Mus musculus: one gene and its partner. The protein of the gene in region 1 binds, or shares a complex with, the protein of each later gene. Links are inferred from orthologs where the notes say so. Each region holds a gene or a part of one and is shown in the gene's direction. Other genes may lie near its edges.

Region 1 (5,832 bases):
CTGAGAGTTCTACATCTTGATCCAAAGGCAGCCAGGGGACTGGGTTCCACACTGGGCAGAGCTTGAGCATATGAGACCTCAAAACCCACCTCCACAACAACACAAGTCCTCCAACAAGGCCACACCCACTTCAGCAAGGCCACACCCACTTCAACAAGGCTACATCTCCTAATGGGCCAAGCATTCAAACACATGAATCTATGGGGACCATACCTATTCAAACCTCCGCAAGATTATGTAAACATTTTAAAGTATCCTGCTATTTTTCAGAAGCCTCCTACTAATTACTGCTATTCTTAATAGGCCGTGGGAGTTCCTACTGTTGCACTCACTGGTGAATTACTATTTGAAGACAAAGGCTACTGATAAAACAACACATCACTGTTTTTATGTACATTTCATGTATTCTGTAGATTTGATGTAAAATTCTAAAAGAAGGGAGCTGTAGAGATGGCTCACTAGTTAGGGGAGTATATGCTCTTGCAGACAACCCAAGTTTGATTTGCAGTACTGAGGCTGGGTGGCTCACAACTGCCTATAAGTACAGCCTCAAAAGGCATGTTTGTGTAGATGCTTGTGTGCATGCACGCACGCGCGCACACACACACATTCACACACACTCACAGATTCAAAATAAAAATCAATCAGCTCAGCAGTTAAGAGGACCTAGGTTCAATTCCCAGCACCTCCATGGCAACTTGCAGCTGTCTGTAACCCTAGTTCCAGGGGATCTGATACCATCTCACAGACATATATGTAGGCAGAACACCAAAATAAACAAACAAACAAGCTGGACAGTGGTGGCACACACTTTAATCTCAGAACTCTGGAGGCAGAGGCATGTGGATCTCTGTGAGTTCTAGGCCACCTTGATCTACAGAGTGAGTTCACAGCCAGGGCTACACAGAAAAACCCTGCCTTGGAAAACCAAAACGAAAAAAGCAAATGAATAAACAAACAAATAAAATAAATTATTTAAAGTCTCTAAAGAAAAATACAAACAAAATTGTCTAACAAATATTAATTCAGAGTGACGGAAGATAGATCAGCAGGGGACTGGGCACTAGGGACAGGCAAAGACAAAAAGCCAGAGTTTGTGATTACTACTTGTGTTTTGTAGTTTTTTGTTTTGTTTTGTTTTGTTTTGAGACATGGTCTAACGTAGCTGCCATTGACCTTGAATTATGTCTTCCCAAATCCTAGTATGACAGCAGAGCACTACCACACTTAGTTAATTGTTTTACTTGGATCTTACACAGCGTTCTTTGGATTTAGGTGAGTATTTCACATCTAAAGACAGCCTTCCTTTAAAATCATCCAGATTTCTTAATTTTTTTTCTCTGATATATGGTAGGATGCATTTACTTGTACAAGATATTTTATTTATTTATGTCTGTTTTCTTGGTGCTGGAGATCTGGTGCTAGAGCGAACTGCAGCTCTAGCCATGTGCATGTTAATTTAAAGGAAAAGGATGCAACACTCCCACGCATCTCTAAAGTACAGTACATTTTTAATCATTATTTTGCAAGACGCAGGAAGAATCCAAATTAGAAAGTGAACGGTTTGCAAAACACAGGAAATATCCAAATTAGAAAGTGAAATGACGTCAGAGCCAAGGCTTCAGAGCTAGTATCAAGCTGGCCTTGCACATCTGTTCTGATGTTTAAGTTACTCAGAGCGGTTTAAAGAGTGGAGATGAACGACTTTTTCAACAAAAACTCTAGGAACCGCTGTTTACAAGGAGCACACAGTAGACAACACCTTCCTTAACTTTCTTGCCCTTCTTCATTACTACAGACACAGGAAACCAAGAGGCTATAGAGGCAGGAATGAGCTCACGCTGACATGACGTCACGAGCACTTGACGTCAGAAGGCGGTTGCCACGGGGACCGTTCGCCACCGACGGCAGAGTCGTGAAACTCCATCACCACACGACTCGGTTTTGGCCTCCGCGGGGTTGAAGCTGCTAGAGACGCTTCAACCTTAAGGGGGCCTCAGGGAGAGAGGAGTGGCGCCGCGGCGGAGCGCTCCCTCTCCGCGGCTGTGGGGATTCCTGCCGCGGCCTGGGCGGCGGCGGCCGCTCCGCGTCTCCTCGTCGCTGCAGCGCGCGGGGCGGATCCGCCATATTGGAGCCGGGGCTGCAGGTTCCGTGCGGCGGCGGCGGCGAGAGGCGGGCCTGGCAGCGGGGCCCGCGCGGCAGCGGCGGACGCGGGGGAACGCATGAGCCGCCGCGGCTAGCCTCTTCCCCGCCCACCGCCTGCGCTGGGTCGTCGGGACCCGGCCGGGAGGGGCCGCGGCGGCCGCAGGATGTTCTCTAAGAAGCCGCACGGGGACGTGAAGAAGTCCACCCAGAAGGTGCTGGACACCAAGAAGGACGCGCTGACCCGCCTCAAGCACCTGCGCATCGTCATCGGTGAGGGGAGCCGCGACCCCGGGGCGCCGCCGCGGCGGCCTTGCTGCCCCCGGCCTGTCACCCCGCGAGCTCCGGGCTTCGCCCTCGCGACCTGGCGCGGTCGGGAGTGAGGGCCGGCGGCGCCTCTGCCCACGCGCGGGCGGGCGGCGAGGGAAGGGGACAGCTTGGCAGTTGGTACAAATCAGTCAGCACCAGCACGGAGAGACCCACGTTGGAGTTCCTGGTCTGATTGTTTAAAAAAAAAAAAATGACAGTCAGGCCAGAAACTTAAGTCCTTGATGAGACTTCAGGGACACTTGGCGTTGTGGGTAATGGTGTTTAGAGGGTGTGCTTGCCATCTGACTACTGCCATCCCCACCCGAGTGCAAAGCAAAGCAAAGCAAAGCGCTGGCTCGGCCAGTGGAACCCGTAGTCTTTCAAGTTTTTTTGGCAGGTGAGGGCCCTGGAGGAAGCAGTTGCACCTCTTTGGGAAGTGGGTGGTTCCTGAAGCTTGGGGAAAGAACCCCGCCCTATACACCCTGTTCTTCATTTGCTGTCCTTTAGGAAGAAAACTAATTATAGAGAAGAAGGTTCTCGTGAACGATACAGAATTAAGTTTTCATTAAAAATTTCTTACTCTCTGCCGTCTCATCAACTTTAGTGTCTCTGAAGACCGAAGCAAGCTAGATTTGGGATAAAGTGTTAAGCGAGGATTTTTGGATACTTGGTCATAGACAACTTGGATTTTTTTTTTTTTTTAAATGAAGAAATTTTGAGGTAAAAAGGAAAGTTGACCAGGGCTTAGACATATAGAATGACAATAGGATAGCTGAGGTTAGATCTCAGATGTCTGAATTCTAATTCAGAGTTTATCATCTCAAGCTGTCCTCCTAATTTCTGTCTGTTTTGGAAAGTGACTTATATGTTTAGTGGTGTGTCCTCTGTTTCATGGATGGATTTCTCTACTGTGTTGTGACTAATACCACCAATGATACCCAACATTTGTGTGGTGTTTTGCTGTCTACAAAGGGTCTCACATGAATTAGTATAATCCAACATGACCATCTGTCTAGAAATAGAGATATTATTTGCCATTTTAAAAAATATATAAACAAAAAAGTTGAAGATGGATGGAGCTGGTGGAGACTAACGACCACAACGAAGCCTAGATTTTCTGTCTCTGATTTGTTTTTCAGCCTTCCTACATGTCTGACAGCTAGTCTTAGTTATCACAAGTACTTATACCTGTGGTATAGTGAGAAAGCAATTAAATCCATCTTATGTAAACCATTTAAATATGGTAGAGGTTTTTAACATTTCCATTTTGGAGTTAAGTCATTGAAGATTTGCGTGAAAAGATATGCTGAGACACGCAAAGTCATCGGCACGTAAATGTATTACAAAATAACGGCCGTTTGAAAGTGGACACTTGGTGCAATCTGACTCTCACTTGAGACAAGCTGTAGATTGCATAAATGCAGTTGTAACTATAAAGCTGAGTTACAGCAGGGTATTGAGAGTTCCTAAATTACCTGCCACAGCATAGAGGGTTTTGTGGTTGTGTGTATGTGTGTAGTGTGTGCATGTGTGTTTCCTAACTTGGGAAACATCAGATGTATTACTACCACACATGTTGGATATTTTGTAGGACCTGGCTTCCTCAGTTCGAAAATGGAATACTTAAGAAAGCAAAAAAACCTTTTGCTTTCATAATTTAAGGAGTCTTTTAAGAATGAAATCACCAGGAATGTCTTACCTTTCACAACTTTCTTATGTACCTGTGCCCTGTGAGAAGCCCACACTCAAGTGTAGAACCACAGTGCTTAACCAAACACATTGTGCCAAAAGCAGTTATCATGTCTGGAAACACTTTTTCTGTGGAGAGTTGCTACTACATATAAGTATGCTAAATGCTGCTAAACAGAAAAGTCCCTCACAACAGTACCCATGCCCTACATATCAGAATAGCATATTCTGAGGCCTTGTCATAATGCATACTAAAAGATGAACTCCCAAATGCTAGGGTTAGTTTTAAGTTCTCTCCCTCTCTGCCTCAGGGCTAGGAATTGACCTGGGGACTCAAGTGTGCTAGCAGGCCTGCACTTTGCTGCTGAGCAACATTTTGGCTTCAATATTTAATGGTTACAGTTATTTCATTTAAAATAAGATGCCTGGCAGTGGTGGCGCACACCTTTGATCCCAGCACTTGGGAGGCAGAGGTAGAGGCAGGCAAATTTCTGAGTTTGAGGCCAGCCTGGTCTATGGAGTGAGTTCCAGGACAGCCAGGACTGCACAGAGAAACCCTGTCTCAAAAAACCAAAAAAAAAAAAAAAAAAAAAAAAAAAAAAAGGAAAGAAAGAAAGAAAGAAGATGAGTGGGAGAAAGATAAAGTTGAACTCCCTTAGAGGCTTGCTCACTGGTTCCTATTTTGTAGTTGAAAGAGTCATTTTAAATCCCTTTTGGAAATAAATAGGGTTTTAAGGAAATACAATGAAGAAACTACTTAGTCTGCTAATAACACAGAATCATATTGGACCAAACAAAAGTACTGTGCACTAGGGGTAATTATAGAAGTCAGTACATGCATAAAATAGTGACTCCCTTAGAAAAAGTATGTCCAGACATGATCGACATGTCTCCTGTAGGCATCACTGATCTACAGCTGCTTTAGTGTGGTCTTCTATATAGGTCCTTACTCACTGGGTAGAGGTCTGAAGGAATATCCAACATTTGAAAGATGGCTTCTTCAGTGCTTTTCATTTAAAGAAATGTATATTTTTATTTTTCATGTTAGTATGTATGCCTGTGCATTACATATGTGCTTTGGTACTCACAGAAGCCAGAAGAGAGTGTTTGATCCCCTAGAACTGGAGATGCAGATAGTTGTAAGCTACCATATGGGTGCTGGGACTTAAATCTCTAGGTTCTCTGGAAAGTGGCCAGTGTTCGTTCGTTCTTTCTTCTCTCTCTCTTTTAAGATTTATTTACTTATTATATGTACACTGTGGCTGTCTTCAGACACACCAGAAGGGGGCATCAGATCTCATTACAGATGGTTGTGAGCCATCATGTGATTGCTGGGATTTGAACTCAGGACCTCTGGAAGAGCAGTCAGTGCTCTTAACTGCTGAGCCATTTCGCCAGCCCACAGCCAGTGTTCTTAACCATTGAGCTCTCTCTCTTTTGCCTGCCTGCCTGCCTGCCTGCCTGCCTGCCTTCCTTCCTTCCTGTCTTAAGTCCTTACATTATTAAAATAGCAAATCAAGGGGTGTGTGTCTTCTTTCGCTTAAAAATTATTATATAAAAACTTAAAACTTGCTGGGCGTGGTGGCACATGCCTTTAATCCCAGCACTGGGGAGGCAGAGGCAGGCAGATTTCTGAGTTTGAGGCCAGCCTGGTCTACAAAGTGAGTTCCAGGACAGCCATGGCTATACAGA
Region 2 (5,681 bases), on another chromosome or scaffold:
ATTTTACCACAGCAACAAGACACTAAATTAAAGCGCTCTGTCTAGTGTTCATTGCTTACACATTTCTGTCTACTATACATTGTTTGCATAGGTTGAAACGCCACACTGGACTTTATAAATATGTATACCACGTCCAATTACTAGGTGTCAATAAAAAAGAGTATTAAAGCATGATTAAATTTCATGTTATAACGTGGAAAAGAATTCCAGTTCACATTTGTATGTACTATGGCAGCTGAGGTACAGATATATGTGAAAACTTCTGGGGCTGGAGAGATGGCTCAGGGGTTAAGAGCACTAACTGCTCTTCCAGAGGTCTGGAGTTCAATTCCCAGCAACCACATGGTGGCTCACAACCATCTGTAATGGGGTCTGATGGCCTCTTCTGGTATGTCTGAAGAGTGCAATGGTGTACTCATAGATATAAAATAAATAAATAAATAAATTTCTAAAAAAATGTAAAAAAAAAAACCAAACCAAACCCAAACCAAAAACTTCCTAGCTGGGTAGTTAGGAGTTTTAAAACTTCTATTTGTTCTACTTCTATTCTCTTTTACAACAGTTCATTTTTGTGTATGAAATAAAAATGATAAGAGAGCCTCGAGTTGGAACTGAGCACAACTTCTTTCCCTCATTTAAAGGAATGGAAACCTCTCTCCCCTGTAGCTTCCCTACAAAAAAACTAAAGAACTAAGTCTGCCATGAATTAAACTCTCAAGGTGGAGGGACTAGAGGTATTTTCATTTTTCCAAGTCCTTTTTTTTTTTTTTTATTTTGAGACATGGCCTTATGTAGCCCAAGCTGGCCCAAAGCACTCTGTGTAACAAGTTCAAGGATGAATATGCTACTACATATGGTTTGTGTAGTACTGGGAATCAAACCCAGGACCTCAAACACACCAGGCAAATACTCCACCAACTAAGCTATGTCTGCAGTTCCATGTGCTTTAAAAAGATTCCCAGTCCTCCGTGTCTGTCACTTTTCCAATTCCCATCACCCACTCCTCTTCAACCCTATCAGTCTGATCTTCCATAGATGTTCAATATTCGGTGTTAGGAATGTGGTCGCAAGTAACAGAAAACTCAATGGATTGTGGTATAAATAAGGCCCACCACCCTCTTTAAAGCAGGAAAGGAGTACAGAGTCCATGCAGTTTCCTTGGTGTGTCCTAAAGAGGCAGGTTTCTTTGCCTTGTTTTACATTTATAGTAGAGTCTTCTGCAAGATCTCAGAATGACTGCCACATCTCCTGGCATTGTATTATACCATGGTTCCAATCATGAAGTTGGGGAAAGTTGAAGGACACAAAATTTCTCAGGACTTCCTTTATATCCTAAGTCTCCCTTGGAACTTTGGTTTATGCTTTATGGACTAGAACTTTGTTTCACTGGTATGCTGTCAAGCAGGGGAGGGGGCTTTGCTTTTTGGCCTCTGTAGTGTAGAAGTGGGAAGGAGAGAGGGGCTTGGAATAGTGACCATGTGATAAAGCACTTATCAAAAACTGTCTAATTGAACTTTACTGCTTCATCCACACACTGTCCTGGCACATTGTTACCCACCCCTTCCCCTCTTCCTGTAGGTGAGGTTGTGGTCTTAAAGAATCCTTGTTTTATCTCTTCTACGAGGGCACTAGTTTCTTCTTCACTCCTACTTGGTTCATGGTCTCTTCTGAGGATGACAGTCACCGTTTTCTCTGCTTTCCATACAAATGTGTTTTTTGCACAGCCTAACACCCTGATCCCTCCACCTCTGAGTTCCAAGGTCAGTCACAAGGCCAGGCTCTCTATGAAGCTGTCTCCATCCCTCTTTCCTCTCAGCCTGACACGTGGGGAGTACGTCTAAAATGTTGTTACTTTCCTCGTGGAAGTTGAAACGAAATTCTTGACAGTGGTACTGTTTGCAAAACGTCCGGTGCATGGCAGGTGCTCGAACTTGTATCTCTTGTTAGTAATAGCTTATCTCCCCGATCAGATACAACTCGTTGGTGACAGGTTCTGAATCATCCTTTTAAAGCACGTCAGGCCTGGCGAGGACATTGCCCATAATAATGCTGCGCCCATGTAATAAGGGGCTGGGCAAAGGAAGAGCTACAATGCTGAGATGTGAGACATTCCTTTAGCCTGAATGGTAGCCAACTTTTCATAGAGAAGCCCCTTACTCTTCTGCACTAAGAACATGTAGAAGCCAGATTGCTTCTGGAGCTGGCACCGCGATGACGTAAGTGTCCGTCACTTTACTCCTCCCACTCCACCGAAGCCCGAAAGGGGGCGGTGTGGGCAATCGCGCTTCGCGCGGCCCTCTGGGACGGCTGCGCACGCGCAGCTTCCGGCTCCAGGCTCGGAGACTTATTTGACGCTGCCCACTCGGTCCCTTCAGAAGTCGCGGGTCAGCAGCGCCGCGCAGGCGCAGTAGTCCCTTCGGCTGGGGAATTATTTGACGCCACCGCCCCTGGCAGTCGGAAGTTGCTTGAACGGAGCCCAGCCGGCCGGCCAAGCGACCGGTGTTCGTCGTCCCCTGGGCGCCCTGGGAGAGTCACTGACGGGTGGACGGACTGACTGCCGGTGGAGGGCCGGCCGGGGCAGTGGCAGCGCGGGCCGGATGGCGCGGGTCGCGTGAGGCGGCAGGCCGAGTGCGGCCCGCGGTGCGCCCGCCCAGCGATGCGGGCCCCGCCCGTCGCCTCAGGTACGCGGCGGCCGGCGCGGTGCGGCCGGACCCTCCCCTCTCGCCGTGCTTTTTTTTTTTTTTTTCCCTCTCCTCAGCAGCTACTGAGGCAGGGGCTCTTTGAACCTCCGCTGCTCCCGGGGCCGAGCGTCGGCGGGCGCATTCCTGGGTTCTGAAGTGGCCGCACCGGGCGCGGGAGCACAGTCCTGGCCCGCGGATTCTGCCGGGTGTGAGCGAACCCGGGAGGGTCGGACTGGCGGAGCGCCCCCCTGGCAGCCTGGGGACAGGGGCGGGTCTGGAGTGGCAGCGGCAACTCCGGGGAGGATGCGGTCCACCGAGGGGCAGGTGGAGTTGCTGCCGTCCGGTGAGGATGCTACTGCCCAGGGCACGGTGACGCTTGCGAGGAGAGTAAACAGCCACCCTCCGCAAATGCTTGCTTTCCGCCAGGCCCAGGCCAGATAGGGAATTTGAGCACCCTGCACGGCAGGACTGTTACCCCATTCTACGGACCAGGCAACCGAGGCCCAGAGCGATCGGGCGCCTTTGGTGCCCAAGGTCATAGAGCTGGGTAATTTGAACTCAAGCAGCCTTGACAGTCCGATCCAGGTTCTTAACCAATTAGGTCATTGGATGTCCAACTTTGATGCACGGTAAAAATCACTTGGGGAGTTTTGAAAAGATTCCTGGTGCCATAGCACCTCAAACTAATTAAACCACCATGTCTAGAGGGTAGGGGGAGACAAATACTAGTATCTTTCTAGTATTTGTCTTTCCGGAGATCCCCTAGTGGTTCTGGGCTATAGTGAGGTTTGACAAGTGTGAAAGCATGTAATCTCAGAGGTCTGACAGTGCCTCTCCAGTTTATGTGTGCAGGAGGATGCTTGTTAAGATCGTGGATTCCACTGGCAGAAATTCATATTGTCACTCCCTTCCCCCCAGCGCGCCCTTGTTCTATTGCTGGAACTCTCCATTTCTCTGCCTCAGCCTCCTGAGTGCTAGGATGGTAGCTGTTCACTAAGAGAGAACTTTTCCTTAGATCCACAGACTACCACCCCTTTGGTAGGTAGGCCTCCTTGAGGGTGAGACCCAATTATGGATTCTTAGCAGAGCTTTTAAAAAAAATGTATACATTCCTTGCAAAAACTGTTGGTTTACAATTTCCCATAATATACGGCACTCATGGTTATGGTTTCTCTAGCCTCTGGACTTTTGCATACACTGTTCTTTCTACAAGACAGGCCTCCGTGTTTTCTCAGCACCCTACCCGAACACATACACCTTCTCATATGCATCAATTCTGTCTATTGCCCAGCTCTCAACAGTCCCTTCAAGATCCTCTGCCTCCCCTGAGCCCTGCCCATCTTGGCATTATTGTAGAGTAGCTGACCACATGTTTTTCTGTGTTGTACTCCTAAGCTCTTCTGTAAGGTTTTGATGGCAGGGACCATGCTTTTCTTGGTGTCTGTCTGTCTGTCTGTCTGTCTCTCCCTCTTGGAGTACTTTGACATCGAGGCCGACAAACATTTTTTGAATATAGTGTTTAGTCCCTTTATGTCATAGACCTCATGCCGCAGAGGCATCTGTTTTCTTTTTTTATAAAAGATATTTGCTGTTCTTAACATTAGGGTTTTTTTTTCCTTTTTCCTTAGGAATACTCTAGTTAAGTTTATTCATTTATTCAGCAGATGAATAAAATGTTGAATTCTTATCCATGACAAGGCACGATGTAAGACCATGTTCCAGCAACATTGGTTGGTTTAGCTGCGTGAGGTGGCACACGCCTTTAATCCCTGCACTCAGGAGGAAGAAGCAGGTGTATCTCTTTAAGGCCAGCCTGCTCTGCACAGTGAGTTAGTGACAGGATAGCCAGGGCTCCATACAGAGGCCTGCCTCAAACCTCCACCCAACCAATCAACACACAAAAACAAACAAAACAAGAACATTGGTGAATTTTATTGTTAACTTCCATGTAGACAGTCTATTCTATAGTGAGAGACTTTTTATTGCCATTGGGGTTTTGCATGTGGCCTTTCCTCATTGTCTAAAAGAAGTGTTGTCTAGATGCTATTGCCTTGTATGTATCAACGCACGCAGTTATAGTTCATCCCATCTGATGGGAGACAGTCAGCTCTGTATCAGAGCAACAATACAGACTCGGTGTAGTTTATTACATAATGTCTGAACTGCCATTGCTGCACATGCTTACCAGTTTTAAAGGAAGTCAGTGCAATAATTCTCATTGCTTCTGTTTTTAGTACCGCCCCCTTTTTTGGTAAAATTTATTTTTATGTTTATGGGCATTTTGATTGCATGCATGTATGTGCACTACTTGGATGTCTGGTGCTTGCAGAGGCCAGAGGAAGGTGTCAGGTCCTCTGGAACTGAAGTTACAGAGGGTTGTGTTCAGGTTCCATGCAGTTGCTGGAACTTGAACGTGGGTGCTCGGCCAGAGCAGCCAGTAAGTGCTCTTAACCACTGAGTCAATTCTCTAGTTCTTTGTTCTTGGTTATTCTTAAAGCCGTATGAGATTAAGTAGATTAAATATTATAAGGTCATTATGAAGAAGTTTGTTTACAATGAAGAGTCCCCCTACCCCTATCTTTTTATATTGGTATTGGGGGTTGAGTACAGACCTTCTATGCAAGTGCTGTACCACTGTGTTTTGATTCCCATTTTATTTTATATGTGTGTGTGTATACATTTTTTTAAATTCAATTTTATTATTTTTTCTGAATACTGTTTTACTATGTAGCCCTGGCTAATCTAGAAATGGCTATGTAGACCATGATGTTCTTGAACCCATGGAGGTTTGTTGTCTCTACCTCCTGAGAGATTAAAGGCATGTGCCACCATACCTAGCTATAATTTTTTATTTTGAAACAAGGTCATACCAAGCTATCTGGGTTGACCTTGAACTTAGTCTGTAGCTTAAGCAGGCCTTGAATTTAGGGTCCTTCTGGCTCAGCTTCCTAAGTAGCTGGGATTGCAGGCCTATACCAGCATGCCTAGATGGGATATTTC

Evidence for each region. The genes of interacting proteins can lie anywhere in the genome.
Region 2: Ralgapa1 (region 1) and Ralgapb share a complex: the UniProt entries of both Homo sapiens proteins name them as parts of the heterodimeric RalGAP1 complex. The link is inferred for Mus musculus from reciprocal best matches to the Homo sapiens genes RALGAPA1 and RALGAPB.

Annotation. Positions count from the first base shown.
Region 1 is NC_000078.6:55,817,245-55,823,076, reverse strand, and holds the start of Ralgapa1 (ral GTPase-activating protein subunit alpha-1), read left to right. Parts: upstream 1-1,909; 5' UTR 1,910-2,309; coding exon 2,310-2,415; intron 2,416-5,832. UniProt on the Homo sapiens protein: Catalytic subunit of the heterodimeric RalGAP1 complex which acts as a GTPase activator for the Ras-like small GTPases RALA and RALB.
Region 2 is NC_000068.7:158,407,423-158,413,103, forward strand, and holds the start of Ralgapb (ral GTPase-activating protein subunit beta), read left to right. Parts: upstream 1-2,430; 5' UTR 2,431-2,681; exon of another isoform or gene 2,682-3,024; intron 3,025-5,681. UniProt on the Homo sapiens protein: Non-catalytic subunit of the heterodimeric RalGAP1 and RalGAP2 complexes which act as GTPase activators for the Ras-like small GTPases RALA and RALB.